Sus scrofa: one gene and its partners. The protein of the gene in region 2 purifies or fractionates together with the protein of the main gene of each other region. This does not show direct contact. Links are inferred from orthologs where the notes say so. Each region holds a gene or a part of one and is shown on either strand. Other genes may lie near its edges.

Region 1 (5,356 bases), on a different chromosome or scaffold from region 2:
GAGCCATATTTTAAATAGGGAAGCTGATTGCCAGAAGGTACTTCATCAAACAGGAATGGCAGAACAAATTCTGAGAGGGAAAGGGGAAAGCTAAAGAAAAGATGGATCTGTCGAACCACTAGAATTCAACCAAACAGCAATTTCTGCGTGTTACTGATAAAAAGAGGAGGAAATGGCAGGAGAGCAAAGTTGTCATCAGAGTGAGTGGGGAGGTGAGGGTGTGAGAGTGGAATTGAATAAATGTTGAAAAAAGGAAAGGGAAATTGAGACCACACCTAAGAAAATGTCTATAGCAAAGGATAAAAACAAGGAATTCAGAAAGAAGACAGACGAGAAAAAAAAAAATTTGGAAAGTTTCACTGCTAAGTAAAGAAAAGCAAATTAAAAGATGTATTTTAGGAGTTCCCACTGTGGCACAGCGGAAATGAATCCAACTAGCATCCATGAGGATGTGGATTTGATCCCTGGCCTCTCTCAGTGGGGTGGGGGGGAATCTGGCCTTGCGTCAGCTCTGGTGTAGGCCAGCAGCTGTAGCTCTGATTTGACTCCTACCCTGAGAACTTCCATATGCTGTGGGTGTGGCCACAAAAAGTAGAAAAAAAAAAGTTATATTTTAAAAAGCCATTAAACTGGCAAAGATTAAATGATAAAGGCAAGAATGTCAGTGAAGGGACAGGCTTCATAGTCCCCCCTAGAAAACAGAGAACAAACCTTGTCTAGAAAGAAACCTGAAATACAACTCCATTTCTGAGAATTATTTCCTAGTAAATAACCAGACATACGCAGAAAGATTTATGTAAAAAGGATATTTGTCACGTTTTTAACAGTGAAAAACTGGAAACAACTTACACTGCCATCGGTAGGAGAATCGTGAAATGAAGGATGGCAGTCCTGTAACATACTAACACACTGTCACTACATATTGCGTTATAGATTAACAATTCAGATACGTGAAAAATCCTCGTAATAAAGAAAAAAGTCATAAAACAGTAGTATACAAAGGGTGATTCCGCTTTTGTACAAAACCTAACTATAATGCAAATATACATATTCACATAGGAAATAACTAAAAATGAATATCCTCAAACACCCTCAGTGGTTTTCACTGCGTGTGAACTTACGAGTGACTTTTACTCACACTGGGGTGCACGTCTTCATTTTTCCAATATCCCCGACATACCTATTTTTTATGATGCCAGTGGCTGGACTACTCCTGGCCCACAAGTGCCGGGGAAAAATGATACTTTATTTGCACGTCATCTTCCTCGCCAGCACTTCAAGGCTTTCGGCAACCCTGACACTTTCTCCAAAAAGCCGCGACGCCGGCGACTCCTTTCTTCTTCCGCAACCGCGGCGGCGACCCTAAACCAGAGTAACCCAGGGGCTGTTGCCAAATAACTCTCGGCCGACCTCTTAAGTGGACGGAAACGGAAAAAGAAAACGCACAAACGCAGTGATTAACGCGCGGTCTGTTCAGTTCAGCAGCCCAATAAGCGGAAGGGCCTATTCTACTCACGGCCAATCTTCCCCGCTGCGACCGGAAGCCTTAGGGTCACTTCCGCCCTTGTTAAACATGGCCGATCCCACCCCGCATTCCAATTAGGGGGCTGCCCAACTCTTAGACTAACCGTGATTGGTCGCCAAGAGACTCGGAAGTGTCTGTAATAAATGTCTTATCCCAGCCTCAGCGGAGGACCGTCTAGTCCAACAAGCGTGGTCCCCTTCCGCCCCGCACTAGGAACTCGCGTTTTCCGGGCTGATCTCGATGGTATCTTTGGACGGATAGAGGGGACCGCGCAAAGTATTATGGGACAACGATGGCCGCTTTCAAGGTGCGGGTTTTGGCTTTCTGAGACGTTCTGAGCGAGGAGTGGCTGCGCCAGCGCCCCAGAATCCGGGACAGAAGGTCTCGAGAGTCGGGCGTGGTGAGGTGAGTGTCCCTTCTTCCTTTCCGACCTTTTCTTACCCAGTCGTGGTGGCTCCAGGCAGCGGATATTGGTCCCTCTTTCGGGTTTGGGCCTAGACTTGGGAATCCTTGTCTTTGTCAGCCAGTGTGCCTTATTCGCTGTAGGGATATTGCGCAGGACAGCCTGCCGCGGCCTTCCTCTTTATTCTGATCAGATCCTGCATTTTGGTGCGTCCCCGCTGAGGTCCAGGGATGCTGCCCTGGGCGTCACCTGCTCCCTTCCTTAGGCCTCCGCATTAGCCCACTCCCAGACGGACTCCGAACCCAGTAGGGGTTCTTTGGGCTTCCTCTTCTCTGTCACAGTGGTATCTCTATCAGGCGATATCCTCTGCTAGAATGTCAACTCCAAGAAGGTCTGGACTTTTGTCTCTTCTCTTCTCTATCTCTAATGCCCAGAACAACGACTGGCTCACAGAAAGCTGTCAGTGAATAATTATTGAATGAATATATTCAGTTTCTTTCTTCACTATTTTCCTTATACCTCTTGTGGCTTCTTTACCATTAATACTTATTCGCAAAACAGCAGTTAACTCCTCAGCCACTCGTTGTCCTGTCAAACTCTTTTTCCTGTGCTCCTAGTACCTGTCCTTGCTGTCTTTAGGAATTTCTGGCTCCCTATCTCCTTTAATCAGTTTAAACTTGTTCATTCATTAATTCTTCACATGGTTCTGTTGTAGGCACTGGGCGTAGTAGTCATTAAGACAGACAAGGTTCTCCTGCATAAAATGACATACTAGGGGTATTTTTTCTAGTTCAGACTACTGAGCAGAGTCTGTATGTCCTACCTTCCTGGATTTGCTCACATGAGTACAGATATCACCAGTAGGTAGCTTTCCCTTTTCCCTTCTACCTAATGGCATTTTTTTTAAAATTTTTTTTGTCTTTTTGTCTTTTTGTTGTTGTTGTTGTTGCTATTTCTTGGGCCGCTCCCGCGGCATATGGAAGTTCCCAGGCTAGGGGTCCAATCGGAGCTGTAGCCACCGGCCTACGACAGGGCCACAGCAACGCGGGATCTGAGCCGCATCTGCAACCTACACCACAGCTCACGGCAACGCCGGATCGTTAACCCACTGAGCAAGGGCAGGGATCGAACCCGCAACCTCATGGTTCCTAGTCGGATTCGTTAACCACTGCGCCACGACGGGAACTCCCCTAATGGCATTTTTAAAAAAGGAAATTCTTGTTTCTTTGACCATACTATGTGTTGTCTGTTTGGCAATATTCTTCTAGAAAGCTCTGCATGTTAATTAAAGCTGGGCACAACAGTCTGGATTCTGGTGGTACCCTAGCACTTGATAGTTCTTTGCTTCACTGACTTGTTGGAATGAGGGAAGTTAGTCAAGCATTCAGAATATTTATAAGTAGATGGTGTATAGTGGGAAGAAAAAGAGGAGTTTGTTACAAGTTGAGTGCCAGGAAATCTTACAGTTACCTAAATACTTTTTCAGAAGTACCATTCCCAAGCCTGATGCTTCTCATCAACATTTTTGGAGAACATGAATTGTCATTAGACAGATTTCAACTGCCGTGAGGTAATTCTTTTCTACTGAACTTACCTGGCCCAGAAAATGCGTTTAAGTATAGACTGCATGGATAGTAGCCTTATCAACATCTCTGCTCCGCTGTAGCTGTAGTTTAAAAGAAGGGAGAGGAGGAAGAACTTACGTAGAAAAAACGATGAGGGATCCAATCAGTGTCTAGGAGCACAGCAAGTGAAATAATGTAACAGCCACATTTCTGTAACTCTTTATGGTTACAGAGTGCTTTTACTAAACTTTCTTGTTTGATTCTCACAACAACTCCAAGGATCAGATAGAGCAAAAAGTATTTTCACTTTGCAGATATAGAAGTTATGCCTAGGAGTTCATGCTTTGGTGCAGTGGGATCTGCAGTGGCAGGGGAGCAGGTTGGATCCCTGGCCCATCACAGTGAGTTAAGGATCTGGCGTTGCTGCAGCTGTGGAGTAATTTATGACTCTGGCTTGGAGTCGATCCTGGCCTGGGAACTCCATATCCCATGGGGCTCTCCCCCCCATAAGTGGGGGAGGAAATTATGCCTAACTGAAAGTTAAGTTATTTGCTTACAATCACACAGGCAGAAAATGTCAAGGGCCTGGATAGTAGAGATTTCTGATGTTAAATCTAGTGGTGTTATCCTTATACTCCCTTTTGAGATACCACCATGCTCTAGTAAGTATCTCTTAGTGAGGTCTGTTCTTGCCTGGATGCTGCCCTCTTGGATCCAGGTGTGTCTGTGTGTGCGTGCAAGTATCTATTTCGGATGTGTGTTGGGGTGGGATTAGGAAGATCTTTTGAGATTGTCAGTGACTTGATGGACAGGTCTTGGTTAAGAGGTAATTAAAGGAATTTTGGTCCTGGAGAAGAGGTCAACGCACCAAATATGCATGTGGCTACAGTTACTCTGGGATATAGCACAGTCAAGCCTTTCCTCTTCTTATGTCTAATGCCAAATGGTTTGTTTTCCTTTCAGAAATCTCAGAGCCTGTCATGGAGGACACCATCGAGGATGCCTCCCTCCACCGATTGGAAGGCACTGATGCCGACTCTCAGGTTGGCGGTCTTATCTGTAAAACCAAAAGTGCAGCTAGTGAGCAGCACGTCTTTAAGGCCCCTGCTCCCCGCCCGTCATTGCTGGGACTGGACTTGTTGGCTTCCCTGAAAAGGAGGGAGAGAGAGGAGAAGGATGATGGAGAGGATAAGAAGAAGTCCAGAATCTCTTCCTACAAGGACTGGGAAGAGAGCAAAGATGACCAGAGGGACGCTGAGGAGGAGGGCAGTGACCAGGCTGGCCGAAGTAGCCGAAGAGACAGGTAAAGGCCTTAGGGTGGCTTGCCCTAAAGGCAATGAGAGTGGAGCCCAGAACATAACATTCTGTGTTTATCTCTCAGTGTTCCTGTTGGACATTTAGGATGTTTTAAATTGTATGTTGATTATATCACATGGAGGGTAAATAGGAATTGATGTTTTCTTCAGATTTGGAGGAACCGTTCCAAGGCGACCATAGAGTAAAATGATGGAGGTTAGAAATGCTTACGATTGTCACCATATGCAAGCCTGCTGCACCAGAGAGAGAAAATGAAAAAGGCCAGATCACTTGTTTGGCAAAGCCAACGGTTTGAGGCAGGTTTTCCTTCTCTGGACAAGCCTTTTACCAGCTTCCCTGCCTGTTTCAGACATTATCGATCGGCTCGGGTAGAGACTCCATCGCATCCTGGTGGCGTGAGTGAAGAGTTTTGGGAACGCAGTCGGCAGAGAGAGCGGGAGCGGCGAGAACATGGCGTTTATGCCTCGTCCAAAGAAGAGAAGGATCGGAAGAAGGAGAGGCCTCGGGATCGAGATGGCGACCGCAAGAGAGACAGAGGTAAAGGGC
Region 2 (4,929 bases):
CCATTAAATTTCCTTTGTTTTCTTTCATTTGTCTTTTTCCATATTCCCCTTTGCTTACAAGTGGTACAGTATGTGCTGTTCCTTGGAGGTAATTACAGCACTCCCATGTTCTCTTTTGTTAGCTTTCCACACAGATTTTGGGTGGAAACAGGCTAAATAGGGAGTAATCTTAGTAGAATTTGGAACTGTAAGAGGCAGCAAGTTAGGATGTGACTTGATACTTCCCCCTAAAATGTTCTAGAACTGGCTAGGAAATAACAGTTGGATTTTGCTCTTGAACCTGTGAAAAAATACCTTTAACCTGAGCATTGTCAGGGAAATATGTTCGTTTTAGTATAGACTTGTGAGTTCCTTTGGAAGAAAAAGGTCATTGTGGTGTTGGTAGGAGGATATATTTATCTGAGTTGTTTTGCCTTTCTAGAGGAAAAGCTGCATAAAGGGAAAGTGGAAGGGAAAGAGAAGAAGAGGGAGTTGAAGTTACTTAAAAAAATTAATGGATAATGAATTTCATTAAATACTTAATTCTAGCCAAGTAGATTTAAATTCTGAGTATGTATTTTATCTTGGGAGGAAATTTTTATGTGAAAGAATTGATTCTCAAGTTGAATATGTGTTTATGTTTCATGAGCATCTGTTTAGAGTAATTTATTTTCATTTGAAAAATAAGGGTTTTTTTGTTTGTTTTTTAGCTTTTTATGCAATGAGTACATTACTAGGAAAATTATTTTTGTTGCCAAATTTTTAGTTGATTTATTCATGGCGTGGTTTTGTGCTCAAATTACATAATTTCCAGTGATGCATTTTCTGCTTTTGTTTTTATCAGATGGTTGTGTTGCATCAAAATGCATTCTTCCATTTTTTCCACACGTATTTTTTCTATTGTATATGGCACAGTAACTTTTGAATTGCATCTCAGATCTGATTTAGGATAACTTTACCTGATACATTCGAAACTTAAAATACAAGTTGTACGTAATTGATTTTATGGCATTTAATTCCTGACTGATCTAGAGTCTTTGATGCTCCTCATAGTTTTGCTTTACCTACTAGTTTCCTTCACTTCTCCTCTCCCTATTCCTATTAATATGTTGTTGATGTTTGGATGTCATGGGTAGATTTGCCAACAGTTAATGGGAAGATGGGTTAGAAAACTGTGTGTGTATGGAAATTCTAATTCGTGAAACAGGTTATGACTAAGTGGGTGATTGTTAAAACTACAGGAAGAATTCTTAATTTAAGAAATGAAAAGTTTAAGACTCCTATTTCAGTAACCTTACCTGGTGTGTTTAAGTATTAGTTAAATGTCTGTAGGGAGTGTAGTGAAATTTAAAGATTAAATTTTAGTAATCACTGACAGTAGTATAGTACACAGAAATTAATATTAGGCAAGTCAAAAATTACAATGTGCCACCTCCTGATTGTTAAACCTCAAATTCTCCTTCCCAGAAAAAAACTTGGGAAAGGAGGGAAAAGGTAATCATATAAATAGCTTTAAATAATGACCCTGAATGAATTTTTTAAATAATAATAAAATTTACCTGCCATGTAATTCACTCATTTAACAGAGTGGAGTTGTCAGGTTACATATCAGCTCTGTTTAACTTTTTGAGAAGCTGCCAAGCTAAACTTTTCCAAAATGGCTACACCATTTTGCATTTCCATCCATGTATAGGTTTCCACTTGACCTTCATCCTCTCTAGCACTTGTTATTGTATTGTCTATCATTTTTATTATAACAGCCTTAGTGGGTGAGAAATGCTATCTTGTGATTTTGATGAGTACTGGCTAATAATGTTAAGAATCTTTGTGTGCTTATTGGCTATTTATCTGTCTTCTGAAACTCTGCAACTCATTAAACAATAACCTCTTACCCATTCCTTTTCCAAGCCCCTGACAAATGCCCTTCTGCTGTCTCTCTGAATTTGACTATTCTAGATTACCTCTGACAAGTGGAATCAAAATATTTATTCTTTTGTGTCTGGTTTACTTCGAGGGTTTAGCATAATGTATTCAAGATTCTTTGTTGTAGTATGTGTCAGAATTTCCTTCTTTAAGGCCGTATTTCATTTTACATATATATTGTACATTTTGTTTATACATTTGGGTAGTTCCTACCGTTGCGTATAAGTGAATTTCGTGCGATTGAGTTTCTGTTTTCACATTTTTGGAGTGTCCAGAAATGGAATTGCTGAATCATTCGGTAAATTCTTTAATTTTTTTTTTTTTTTTTTTTTTTTTTTTTTTTTTTAAGGAGGACCCACCATACTGTTTTCCGTAGTGTCCTCACCATTTTATATTCCCACAAGCAATGAATAAGGGTTTCTTTACATACTACTGGGCAGTGGTTGTTATTTTATGTGTGTGTTTAAAATAGTTAATGTAATGGATGTGAATGAAGTTCTATCTTCCTGTGATTTTGATGTTCATTTCCCAAATGATTAACATTTAATCTTTCCATTTGCTTGTTGGCCATTTGTAGATCTTTAAAGAAATGCCTGTTAATATACTTTGCCCGTTTTTATATAAGTTGGTTTGGTTTTTTGCTGATGAGTTGTGGGAGTTCTATATATATCCTGAATATTTACACTCTACCAGATGGATGATTTGCAGATAGTTTCTCCCATTCTGTGGGTTGCCTTTTCACTCTTTCTGATAGTGTCCCTTTGATGCACAAGGTTTTTTTTTGTTTGTTTTGTTTGTTTTTATGACCACACCTGAAGCATATGGAAGTTCCCAGGCTAGGGGCTCAATTGGAGCTGCAGCTGAGGCCAGCCATGGCAACACTGGATCCAAGCCACACAAGAAGGTAATCACTACCAGTATTGTTTGGTATTGCTGCCTTGATTTGTGCAAGTATCGTCCGTTTTACTCACTGCTGTTTTTGCACCAATCATCGTTGCAGATGTCAACTCAGTGAATAAGTTATCTCTATTCTTAGGGAGATAGCTTTGACCTCTTGGGCCACACTTAGAGAATTGCTGCCTTAGTTTATAGGGTTGCTGGATGGAATGGAAGAGTGACTATGGAGTAGTAGTCTTATCTTGCCTGAGTAGTCTCTTGTCTAAGATGTTTGGAGAAATGGTTGCCATTCCTCACTCTTGTATTTCCTGTAATTTAGGCTATTCAGGCTGGTATCAGCATAAAATTTCCTTATATTAGTGGTAGAATGTGAGGGGACCGGGATAAAAAGATGTTAAATTCATGAATAGATATGGAATGTACATAATGTATTATGTATTTTTACTTTGCAAGATACATTTTGGATAGAACCCTATGATAAATACTTTTTAAATGACAAAATATTTAAAAAATTAGTTGAAAGCAAAAGAAAAAGGAGAAATTAAAGGGTTTTTTTTTTGGTACTTATCAGATACAAGACAAGAAATATTTACTAGTCTTATAAGCATTATGGCTTGGATGATAACAACTTGAGGTATGGAGTCATTCTGATTTGTCCAGTTAAAATTATCACTGTAAAGTTGGCCTAGTTTCTAGTAACCTACTTTAAAATGGGGGCAGTAACACCTCCCTGGTTAGGTTTTTATGAGGAACAGAGTCAAAATAATGTTTTAAAAATGTGAAGAATGGGACTTAGACAATAAGCTTTAATTGAGAAATAGTTAATTTTAAAGATTTTAAGCTGAGATTTAGATTTTGTTTGGGTCGGGAGTAGGGAGAATTTAGAAGGAACCAAGTTGGAGTGTGTGAGTCATATTGATCAGGCCTGGTACAGGATACTGAAGAAACACACTCCCACTACTCCTTGTCCAAATCTTAAGCTGTATTTGTGCTTTGTGTTCAAGCTACATGGTATTACATTTTCAAAATTTTTTACTTATAGGATTCAGTGGTCCCAATTTAAAGGCTATTTTATTTTCAAACTGGAGAAAGTGATGGATGATTTCAGAACTTCAGCTCCTGAACCAAGAGGTCCTCCTAACCCTAATGTCGAATATATTCCTTTTGATGAAATGAAGGAAAGAATACTGAAAATTGTCACTGGATTTAATGGGTATGCATTTAATTCTACTTTTAAAGGTTTAATTTTTAGCTGAACAGTGATTGTTCTCTTAGTTCTGATGTGTCTGGTTCTTTAATAACTGATTATCCATTAGAATAAATTCTGTCTCTTGTGGTATATATAGTAGTTACTGATTTCCAGCTTACATATATTTAAAATAGTTACACCTTTTTTTTTTGAAACTCGAATCATCTTTATATGGTTTTGTGGCATTTTAGATTTTAAATGTGTATGACAGTGGAAATGATATCAGGAAATATTTAAAAATTTTTCTTTCCATTTTTTACTTAATGTTATAAATTTTTATACTTTGTCTAGAACCTGTTTAACATTGAGATAAGTAACATTTCTTTTAAAATGAAAAATAACAATTTATGGAAGAATTCAGCTTAGTGACTTTTTATTTTAAAATATTTTTTGGAGTCCTTTTTTTCCCCTCAGTAAGTAACCATTTTAGCCCTTTGTAAAACATGGCTCTGGAAAGTTACTCTTCACTGAAATGAAACTGACCTTTAAATGGCTGTGTGTCATACTCTATGTTGTTTTAAATATTTCTCTTTTTAGGACTTTGTATTTTTACGGTTTCCTTCATTGAAGGAACGAAGTATTTGTAAAGTTGAATTGTTCAGTATTTAGATTGTTATTAACAATTTGGGTGGTGACAATACCTAATCTGATGTATTGTGTCTATGTTAACCATGAATTCATATTTACGGTCAATTTTTATTTGAAGGGATTTCATTTGTATTTTTAGGTAGCATAAATGCTTTTGTTTTTTTCTTCAGATACTTAATGACATGGGATTTTGCAACAAGATAGTGTAATTCAGATAACCTTTTTGCTGTATGTACTGTTCCCCACTTTTAAGTTTGTTTGGTTTAAAATATCAAATCCTTAAGCTTTGGTTT
Region 3 (5,396 bases), on a different chromosome or scaffold from region 2:
GGCATTTTGGGGAAATCTCTGTAACTTCTCAATTTTGCTGCGAATCTAAAACTACTCCAAAAAATAGTTTAAAAAAAAAAAGAGGGCCCATTCTCTTCCCGGGGTGTGGCTGATTCACGATGTACCTTCCTGAATATGTTCAGGGAAAAGGAAAAACATCCATAAACATCACCTTTAGTTCTCAAAAACATGAAAGTTAATACTAATAATTAGAGGCGCTAGTAAAGAGCCATGAGAGTAAGTAGTAATAGGATTAGGGTACCATCTTCTCTTCAAACAAACATTAACAGTGAAAAATCCCGCAAGGCTTCATTGAATTCAATTTCTAGGCCTTGTCACAAACTTCCCAGGCAGCTACCAACAAGGGCTATGTTTCAGTCAGAAGTGTCAGGGGCTGTGAAGTTTAACCTTGACATGGATTACTACATAGTGTTGTTCAGTGGAATCCTTACATCCACAGATCCACTCCACGTAGTCAGACATTTCTCCTCCCAAATTATATACCTGAGGAGTCACGCCCACCCAACACAATCTGGGTCCTAGGTCAGTTGCTTAACTCTAACAAAAGTCTCAAAAGCTTAAAGGAATCTCTTCTCTCTTTGGCCTTAGGAACACCTGCCAAGGACCAGGGAACTAAGTAAACTGCAAGCACTTTGTTTCCCTGAATATATTCATCAGAGATTAAAGAAGTGAGAGGCCTCTGGTATGTAGAGCTGCCATCTAAAACAATTTTAAAATCTGACTCAGTGTGGCCACAGAACATTTCACAAAGCATATTTGGTAGGGTGTCAGTTTTAATAGAGGCTAAGGGCAAAGAAAGCCACCACCATGCACACTCTTCAAGCCAAGCTCTCAGAGGCCTCTGATCTTAGACACCAGGAATGAACATGTTTGTCCACGCAAAGCCAACGTGTTTGTGTCCAATCTACGGACTTACTTATAATATGGTCAAATGTCAAACAGATAACCCTTTTATTTTATCTCCACTCCCCCAGCCTCCCTCCCAAACAAACAAAAACAGCCTAAATTGCTCATTATAGGCAAGAGGCCAGAGATTCGGCTTCATAGAAGTTTTACTACTTTCGGTGGTTCACATTTTCCAAGAGGCTAGACCAATCTTCTCATTTACCAACCCCAATCTTAAATAAACTGTTTCCACCAACTTTCCCCTCCTCTCAAACCCCCACTCACCAAAAACATCTCTTTCAGCCAAGAAAGCTGCAGAAGAGGCTTGGAAGTGGCTGCCTCTGCAAATTCCTCCCCCTTCCTATCAAAAGGGCACTTCAAGAACTTTACAGTCTGGAGACTTGTGAATATTGCTCCAATTCCATTCACCAGAGCTGGATTTGAGCATGTGAAGTCTCTTTAGGCAATCAACTTCTCTCCAAGCAGCCAATCCCACAGAAACTTTGGTGGAAACCTGCTTCCTAAGCAAATTCAGGATGCCATCCAGTTCCCAAGCGTGAGCTAGCACAAAGGAAGCTTCCACACACGCTTACTCCTCCACTGCAGACTTTTCTCGCAAGGGGGGCATCCTAAACTTGCCCCATTTCCTTTTCTAGAGTGTGATCTTTGGTCCATCCCCACGTTCATGCCTTTTTCTCCATCTGCACGTTCAGTTCTAATCAGCTATTGTGCAACAGCTGCGGCAATTTAGCCCCTTGATTTCGTGACATAGTCCTCTCTCCTCCCGGCTGGGAAACTGTTTTGATCTGAATAGAGTTGTCTGTATGGGGATTCTGCATGTTAATGATGTGGCTAGCTGGCAGGGATGTTAGGTGAGAGCACACAGTGTACTTTTTCCAGTTACGTTTCGCCTCATCACAGCTAATAGGGGCCTTTCTAAGGGCCTGCTACGCTAGAAGGGAGAACTGCACACCTAATCTTATCCTCTTCGGGGGAGCCTCCAGGGGCCAGGTGGAAAGAGAACAGACAGCCTGTTCTCCCACCAAGTCTCTGGACTCCGAAGCAAAATAACCGAGACACTCCACCGCCCGTGAAGCAAACACGTATATCTTGCTCAGCCAAGGAGTCAGTCGATCCCCTTCACCCAGGCTTCAGCTTGTCCAGGCTTCAAACCGTTCCCCCCGTCCAGGCCAGTCTAAGATGCTGCGTTCTCCCGGCTATATACCGCCGCCGCCACCCCCACCCGCCCCCTGTCCAAGGAAAGGACTTCCAACGTGGTGGGAGCATCAGCTCCGGTACCCGCCCTTCCCTCTCGATCCCGGCCAGAAAACTCCACTTCCCGGATTCCCGGCCACTCTCTCCCGCGCCCTCCCCGGGCGACCCAGCCAGCGCCGTCCAGATGCCAGCCAAGTGCCCAGCCCAGCTGCGCACTCCCCGCACCCCAAACTAGGCCCCTGGAACAGGCCCCAGCCGCCTCTCTCTCCCTCAGCCTAGGTCTCCCAGATTCTGGACGCACCCCTCAGGCAGACGAGGACTGGAAAAAGTCCCACCCCGCCCCCCAGCCACGCCGCCGACCTCCAGCTCTGCCCAAGAGGGGCCTCCTCCCCAGAAGCGACAAGGGAACGTGGGTGGCGGTCCCAGCAGCCTCCTCCCGCACCCCGCGAGGGGCCTGGACCCCCGGGGAGGGCAGACCCGAGCGGCCCCGAAGGGACACCTCCCTCTCCCCCACCCTCCCGGGCCGGCAGGTCTTGGCAGGGAGCTTGCTCGCTGCGGGTCCTCGAGAGCCTGGGAGAAGTCCGGGGGACTGCCCGGGGTGGGGTGCAGCCTCTCCCCGGGGCGGGAGGAGGTCGCCCGCTGCCGCGCGCCCCCCGGGAGGGGGGGTGCACTCACGATGGTCACGCTGGCTTTGCGCAGGTCGCGGTTCTCCTCCTGCAGCGCCTTGCACTTGAGTTTGTAGGTCTCCAGCTCAATCTTGAGCACCTTGTTCTCCTGCTGCAGCGAAGCCAGGCGGTTGGTGAGCTCCTCCAGGCGGAACGGCGAGATGACAATGCCCCCCGATTTTCCCCCGCCGCCGCCGCCGCCTCCGCCTCCCCCGCCGCCGCCACCGCCGCCCGAGGTCGACGAGCAAGACGACTGCATGGCTGCCGAGCTGCCGCTGTTGCCCCCCGCCCCGTCCGTGTCGCTCTCGCTGGCGCTGTCCGCCATGACCGCGGCGGGCTGGGGAGACAACCAGGAGGAGGAGCGGGGAGGCGGCGGCGGCGAAGGCTGGGCTGCAAATGAGTGGGCGCCGGGCGAGCACAGGGGAGCGCCGATCTGGGCGCCTGGCACCAGGGCGCAGACTCCGAACGGCGGCAAGAGAAAGAGAGGGAGCTTCCCGCTGCCAAGGGACCTCCTCTGCCAGAGAACAGAGACCCCGCCCGGGCTCGGGCAGTATTGCACTGGGGCTCGCTCCAGCCGGGCCTGGCGCGCTCGCTTAGGCCGCCCAGCAAAGCAGGCCGAAAAGCTCCGAGACCCGCCTGCCGCCGCCGTCAGCCTTCTGGCGTCCGCCGGCGGGCTGGGGACGCGCGGGGCGGGCCGGTGCCTGCCGACCAGGTCAGCCTCCGCACCAGCTGCTCCCCCGCCACACGTGTTCAGAGGGAGGGCCTCCCACCTCTCTCTGCCCTAAGCCCGCCGCCGCCCAGCCTCTTCCGGGCTCGCGCCCGCTCCTGGGAAAAGGAAACCTAATGCCCCACTAGCCTCGCAGGTGCTGAGGACACGTGGAAAGGTCAGCCCGGCTCCGGCACCCAGCCCCAGCCGAGTTGTGGCCCCATCTTCTGGCGACTGTTGTGTGCTCCTGTCTCCCTCTGTCTGCTTCAAACACAGACGCAGCCCTTTTAGTTGGATCTCAGCGAGCTTGCCTAGGAAGGTTTGGAGAGCGTTCACAGAACGTTAAGTTCCTCTGCAAGGAGCCAAGGAGGGCGACGCGACAGCACCCACAGGTTAACCTCCTTAAGAAAAAAATTGCAGGAGAGACAATGTCTTTTCTCCTCCTCCTAATCATCTCGTAAACCACACTGTGCTCAATTGTTTAAACAAGGTGCAAGGTTTTTTTCCTTTTCTCTCCGTATCTTGCAGACAATGCCAGGACCTGTCGTGCAGTAGGATTAAGACAGTAACATTTATCTAATCCAAAAGAAAAAAAGATAAACACTTTTTGTGGATTAAAATATCCCTTTAAGTGCCAACTTTCCAAAGTAACTGCGGACAGAGCATTATGCTATACAAATAGTGATTAAGTGGAAATAGAACATGACCATCATTTGCCTTTACTATCATCTTGCCCACTCCTAGAAAACTTTAAGAAGTCAAAAAAAAAAAAAAAAATTACCCTACTGTGGTCTAATACAGGGTTTTAGTTTTGAAGCATAAGAAATGCAAGATCAAAACTTGTATTTCCCCTTTACCGTCCCAAACAAAGGCTTACAGGAAATTGGCCCAGCAGGTGAGGTGATTCTAAACACTTTACACTGTTGACACAAAACAGCTTTCACTTATGTATAAAAATCAGAAAATGAAACTGACCAGACTAGTTTTATTTTCCAAGCTTAGTCAACAGAAGAACAAACCTGGAAACAGGGGAAAAAAGTGTAAATTTTTTTTCTATTGCTTTGAACTTCTGGGAAAGTTTGTAATGTGTTAGGAAGGATAAAGAAGTGCTTTAATGATTTTTATTTCAACTCCTCCATTGTCTTTAAACCTAAATTTGACCTAATGATTACAGTGTTAATTCAACAGCTAATTCCTAACAGCAGGTACCTGGGAATAAACTAAAATGCCAAGGGTTCCAAATGACATCATCTTTTACCAAGATGGCTGCTTGCAGCAGACAGCTCCAAAATGCCAATGGCAATTAAACCCCAAATTTGTCCTAATTATTTAGTTTAGTACTAGAGGACTTCTGAACTCAGCCATTATTGGTGTAGCAGGAGAACAAAAAAAAAAGTTGACTTTACTCTTCAGAAACATATAGCCAATGTCAACAATTCTGTTAGAAGTGATCCAGTTTAGTATTCACTGAGACTTAACTCCTCTCCCTCACTTTTTCCTTTTGAGGATGTGCTACTTAAGACAAGCAGCTCCTCAGATTGGAAGTGGCTTCTGGAAATCTCACTTGCTGGGTGAAATGGAGGGGTAAAGCTAGCAGGGAGTCGTGCCACATGGGGAAACTCAGACTTAACAGCATTCTTTCCGCTTTACCCCAGCACCGTGATAGAATCTTAAGAGCCAGTCTGGCTTCCATACTTCACAAGTTTCCATTGTTCCCTATCCCATAGTATCTTAAAGCTTCCACTTTCAGAGCTTACTTAAAAACATTCCTTCCAGGCAAAGCTGGGAGCAAGCTGGCTCTCTCTCAGCTTTATCACCAACTGCCTCAGAAAGAGGACTTAAATGCTTCAAGTCAGCGGAGGGGTGGAGTTTCAAGAGCCTGACTTTCTTAAAGGGCCCACGTT
Region 4 (5,374 bases), on a different chromosome or scaffold from region 2:
CGAGGGGAGATCTGCTTTCCCCTAATGACACCCCCGTTCAGCAGGAAGCAGTCAGAGCGGTCATCGCTCCTTCTTTCCCCACCCCATCCCCACCCCCACAGTTAGTCTCCAACTCTAGAAGGGGAAATTGAGGCAGAACACTAACTCAGGCAGTCAATGTAGGAGCAGGGGCTTGGATGCATTCTTTGATATGGCTATTGATTAACATTTGTGGCTTAAGGGCTCCAGAGAGTAACATCCCCACAGGCCTTGTTTTCTATAGGGAGTGTACCTATGCCCAGATGGTCATTAATCCCTAATCCCCTGTAACTCAGTAGAAGAAAAGGGCAAAGAAACCATAAAAAATTAAATGGGACATTTCTACCCCTAACACCTCTGTTGGACAAGGACTGATAAATGTAATCAAGCAAGGCCAATAGGAGAAAACCACATCTTTTTGGACCCCCCACATCTTTAAAGGATACCCAGTTGGTACCCCCCACATCGTTAAAGGATAAAAACCCCCATAGGACAATGGGGGTGGGGCTTTTCTCCCCCCTCCCAGCAGCCCTGGGAGCTATTTGCTTTCCTGCAATAAAGATTTTGCTTGCTTGCAAAAAAAAAAAAAAAAACCCAATTCATTTGTTCAGCACCCAAGAGGTTTTGCCCTAGGGCAGGCATCACAGAAAAATGTAAGATGGGAGCAGAAAAGCCTTTGTTTTGTCACAAGGAAGAACTACTACTAAGTATACTCAAGATATTCAAGCAGATTGGTTTTAGAAATAAACAAAGAGGTTAAGGATCTGGAGTTTTTTTCTTTCTTTCTTTCTTTCTTTTTTTTTTTTTTTTTTTTTGCTTTTTAGGGCCACACCTGCAGCAAAGGGAGGTTCCCAGGCTAGGAGTCCAATCGGAGCTACAGCCGCCAGCCTATACCACAGCCACAGCAATGCGGAATCCAAGCCACATCTGTGACCTACACCACAGCTCATGGCAATGCTGGATCCTTAACCCACTGAGTGAGGCAGGGATTGAACCCACAACCTCATGGTTCCTAGTAGGACTCATTTCCACTGCACCGTGATGGAATTCTCAAGATCTGGAATTTGATTCTCTTAAAACTCTCCATGGAGTTCCCATTGTGGCTCACCAGGTTAAGAATCGACTAATATCCATAAGGATGAGGGTTCTATCCCTGGCCTAACTTAGTGGGTTAAGGATACAGCGTTGCTGTGGGGCTGTGGTGTAGGTTGCGGACGAGGCTTGGAACTGGCATTGCTGTGGTTGTGGCATAGGCCAGCAGCTACAGCTCCAGTTTGAACCCTAACCTGGGAACTTTCATATGCCGCTGGTGCAGCCCTGAAAAACAAAGAATCCAACTAGTATCCATGAGGATGTGGGTTCAATCCCTCGCCTCGCTCAGTGGGTTAAGGATCCGGTGTTTCAGAGAGCTGCGGTGAAAGTGACAGATGGAGCTTGGATCTGGCGTTGCTGTAGGCCAGCAGCTGCAGTTCCAATTGGACCCCTAGCCTGGAAACTTCCACATGCCTAGGGTACAGCCCTAAAAACAAACAAAACAAAACAAAATTCTCCATCCATCTAGTACCTCTTAAATAGTCTGAAAATTACATGGGTAATCATAATTTGAAGCTGACTAGTTCATATATAGCACAATTACAAATATGTGGTGCAATATGTAATAGAGAAAGTTACATGGAGCGAAAAACTCAGAGTAACTGTGATAGGATGAAGGGATTTCTTTTTCCTTTCTTTTCTGTATTTTCTTAATTTTTCTTAGTGACTGTGAGAATGTTTCCTTTTTTTTTAATTAGGAAGTTAAATATCCTTTCATGACTCTCCTCTCTTCCCTGGTTACTTTCCTCTACCTAAATCTTAAAATGCCTGTGCTCCCTAGGGTCCCATCTCATAACCTTTTCCTTTTCTTCTGTTTGACTTCCAAATGATTTTAATTCACTCCCAGGTATTCAGGTATATCAACTATAAGCTGATGATTCCCAAAGCTAAATCATGGACAAGTCATCTTTTTTTAAGCTCCAAGATAAATGCCTAAGACACTCTTCAACAAACTAATCTCACCTTCTATCCAACACATGCCTCCATTCTGCTCCTCCTCCTGTGTTTCTCACCTTGTCCAATAGCAATGCTTTCCCTGCAACAGCAAGCCAGAAATCTTGCCAATGGTACAGATTCTTCCTTTTTCCTTCCTCCTCCTATCAAGCAGCCATCAAATTCAGGGACTTAATCTTCTAAAATCTCTCTTCTCTCCCCTTCCAACTGTCTCCTTACCCAGGCCTACATCCTTCCAATCCATCCTCTGCATCAGCTCCAGAGAATTCTTTCAGGGTGTAATCTGATAATATCGCTCCTTTCTATAAAATGACACCCATGGACTTTCCCTGTGGCCTACAGCATAACTATACAACAGCTATGGTGCAACCCCTGGCCATGGAACTTCCATGTGCCACAGGTGAGGCCAAACACTTAAAAAAAAAAAAGACCCCCAGTGGTAGTCAGATAAAACTCAAAACTACTTAAATTCTCTTGTGGTGCAGCAGATTAAGGATCCAGCTGCTGTCACTACAGGGGATTGGGTTGCTGCTGTGGTGTGGATTCCATCCCTGGCCAGGGAACTTCCACATGTCCCGAGCATAGCCCCCCCGCCCCCAAATCAAAACTCCTTAGCCCGGCATAAAAGTTCTCTCAGTTATCTTTACTGCCCAAGGACCTGCTTGCCTCTGGCTTCTCACAACAGCAGTCCCCCTCCGATCCTTCATGCTGCAATCACACAGAAACAGTGCTTTAAGGCTCCCACTCTCTCTGACCTCCCAGCTTTACACGTGTCTCCTGTCACCCCCAAATTCTGTCGAGCTCAGGCATCACAAACGCGGCACAGCTGTCACTTTCCCTGGCCCTCCACCTTTACACATGCCTTCCACCCTCACCCAATTCCACCGACTTTATCAAGATTCAGTGCAGACATCCCAATTTCCCGCATGCCTTGTTTCCCTAAATAATCTCGAATAACCCTGTATATACACTTCTATCAATTCACACTGTATTATAACTGTCATTCTCACAAGACTGAGTTCCTCGAGGTCGGGATTGTCTTCTGTATCTTAAATGCCTGGCATAGCACCTGACAAGCTAAAAATCAAGCATATATATCATCTCCGTTATTAAACCCCAAGAAAAGAGGTCACAGCCACCCAGAAATAGTCTAAAGGTGGCGCAGGCTGGGGCAGGTAGAGAACCATGGGAGGCGAAAGTCCACCGGAACAGTCATGCTCTGCTCAAACCCAAGCGGAATGACAGTTTCACGAAGGCAGCGCCTGAAACCTGAACCGAAGGACAGAAGGCAGTGATAGCAATATTTCCTGGTGTTGCCATTCAAAGGTCCCGTCCAAGCCTCCGCCCCAGAGGAAGGCTGGGGCTGCGGGGAGCTCGCCCTTGCCTCCCGCGCAGGCCCAGCTCCCCAGCCCGCGCCCGGATCTCAGCCCTGGAGTCTCACTTCTCTACATCCGCTGACTTCATGATGTGGGTCTTGGATGCCGTCAGCTTCCAGGGCCCGAAGGAGAAGTCCTGGTGGCTGCTCTGGAAGCCGTGGATCATCATGGCTGCGATGGAGCCCGCGTGGGCTACGCAGAACAGGTTGGAGCAGCGGTGGCAGCGGCAGCGACAGCGGTAGCGGACACCGCTCCCTCCGCCTTGCTCCGGCCCAGCCCCCTCGGCTTCCCAGCCGTTACCATGCCCGGCCCCGCCCCCTGCCGGCCGACCCGGACGCAGGCCCAACTTTCCACCTTCTTCTCCGCCCCTCGGGTTTTGCTTCCGGGAGCAGTTGCCAAGGTTGCGTGACCTACGTATTACGTCAAGACGCACCGGGAAAAAGGCGGTGAGAAAATGCTGAGGGGAGAGGCCTCGACTCAGGAGGTGTGGTCGGGGTGCACCGCTCCCTGAGCTGCTGCAATGACGTCGTCTCAGGGCATGTTTAATGGAAGCTCCACGGTGGAAAAGGTGAGTTGAACGTGATCCTAGCCAACTTTGCAAAGCAGCGAGTTACCTCGCGTGTTGGTGAATTAGGGTAGAGAGGAAATGCCCTACATTTTCCCATTGAGGCCAAAATTTTAAAATCACTTAAGAGTCCAGGAGCTTAGGTCAACATCAAGAGCTACGTGACCCAGAATTGGACATCTAGCTGCTATCGATTAAGACTCCTATCAAAAATTTCCTCATTCAGGAATTCCTGTCGTGGCGCAGCGGAAACTAATCCGACTAGGACCCATGAGGTTGCGGGTTCGATCCCTGGCCTCGCTCAGTCAGTATGTTAAGGGATCTGGCATTGCGGTGACTGTGGCATAGGCCGGCAGCTATAGCTCCTATTTGACCCTTGGCCTGGGACTCTCCTTATGCCGTGGGTGTGGCCCTAAAAAAAGAATTCATCGTTCAGACATTTCAGGACTTTCCTGGTCTAGCTATCACCTAAGCATCTGGTATAGTGGAAACAGCACTTTAGACCCGTACTAAATCATCTTTTACAATGATGTTTTATGCATCCTTGGCAAACCACTTAACTAATGATTTTGGCTTCAGCTGCCTAAAATAGTATGCTTTCCTGGCCTGGGAACTCCCACATGCCAGCGGGGCCAAAATAAATTAGAAAAAAAAAAAAATCCCTTGCTCTTAGGGTGTCTATCAAATCTTTTTTTTTTTTTTGGCTTTTTAGGTCTGTGCCCAAGGAATGTGGAGGTTCCCAGGCTAGGGGTCAAATCCAACCTACACCTACCAGCCTGCACCACAGCCGTAGCAATGCTGGATCTGAGCATCATCTGCTACCTACACCATAGCTCACGGCAATGCCTGATCCTTAACCCACTGGAGCAAGGCCAGAGATCAAACCTGAATCCTCAAGGATACTAGTTGGATTCGTTTCCGCTTTGCCACAATGGGAACTTCTCCCAAATCTTTCTTTCTGGCCCCATTTTCAACTCCCTCTCAGCCCTACTCACCAGCACTCAGCCCAACCTTTGGGCCCTTACTCTTGCTGTTCTATCTGCTTGAAACTGTCATACTCAGACCTGTCCCATTTCAGAGTCAACCTGGCACCTTTTAGAACTATAGATTCTCCAGCCCCCATCCCTTTCCCTAACCTGGGATGATCTGCCTTGGAATGATACATCTCCTCCAAAAGGCTTTTTCTGAACTCTGGAGCTGGATTTAATCACTCCTTCTTCTTAGCCAACATGTTGATTTAATTTAACTTCACTCATTCCAGTTACCACTGTTTATTCATTCATCCAAATGAATGTCAAAATTTGAGCATCTGCTGTTGGCCAGGCATTTGTTTTTTCATTAGGAAACAGCACTCACACCCTTTCTTTTT

What was found.
Region 1: the proteins of PPP4R2 (region 2) and DHX38 purify together in Homo sapiens (affinity purification with mass spectrometry; 3 studies listed by BioGRID and IntAct, counting the BioPlex papers as one, with this or other methods). This does not show direct contact. The link is inferred for Sus scrofa from reciprocal best matches to the Homo sapiens genes PPP4R2 and DHX38.
Region 3: the proteins of PPP4R2 (region 2) and CCDC6 purify together in Homo sapiens (co-immunoprecipitation; 3 studies listed by BioGRID and IntAct, counting the BioPlex papers as one, with this or other methods). This does not show direct contact. The link is inferred for Sus scrofa from reciprocal best matches to the Homo sapiens genes PPP4R2 and CCDC6.
Region 4: the proteins of PPP4R2 (region 2) and TIPRL purify together in Homo sapiens (affinity purification with mass spectrometry; 5 studies listed by BioGRID and IntAct, counting the BioPlex papers as one, with this or other methods). This does not show direct contact. The link is inferred for Sus scrofa from reciprocal best matches to the Homo sapiens genes PPP4R2 and TIPRL.

What each region holds. Positions count from the first base shown.
Region 1 is NC_010448.4:14,996,528-15,001,883, forward strand, and holds the start of DHX38 (pre-mRNA-splicing factor ATP-dependent RNA helicase PRP16), read left to right. Parts: upstream 1-1,563; 5' UTR 1,564-1,930; intron 1,931-3,414; exon of another isoform or gene 3,415-3,498; intron 3,499-4,456; 5' UTR 4,457-4,473; coding exon 4,474-4,796; intron 4,797-5,159; coding exon 5,160-5,347; intron 5,348-5,356. UniProt on the Homo sapiens protein: Probable ATP-binding RNA helicase. Involved in pre-mRNA splicing as component of the spliceosome.
Region 2 is NC_010455.5:54,355,393-54,360,321, forward strand, and holds part of PPP4R2 (serine/threonine-protein phosphatase 4 regulatory subunit 2), read left to right. Parts: intron 1-3,841; coding exon 3,842-4,012; intron 4,013-4,929. UniProt on the Homo sapiens protein: Regulatory subunit of serine/threonine-protein phosphatase 4 (PP4). May regulate the activity of PPP4C at centrosomal microtubule organizing centers.
Region 3 is NC_010456.5:63,296,183-63,301,578, forward strand, and holds the start of CCDC6 (coiled-coil domain-containing protein 6), read right to left. Parts: upstream 3,844-5,396; 5' UTR 3,112-3,843; coding exon 2,797-3,111; intron 1-2,796.
Region 4 is NC_010446.5:82,790,945-82,796,318, forward strand, and holds the start of TIPRL (TIP41-like protein), read right to left. Parts: upstream 3,822-5,374; 5' UTR 3,610-3,821; coding exon 3,506-3,609; intron 3,459-3,505; exon of another isoform or gene 2,074-3,458; intron 1-2,073. UniProt on the Homo sapiens protein: May be a allosteric regulator of serine/threonine-protein phosphatase 2A (PP2A). Isoform 1 inhibits catalytic activity of the PP2A(D) core complex in vitro. The PP2A(C):TIPRL complex does not show phosphatase activity.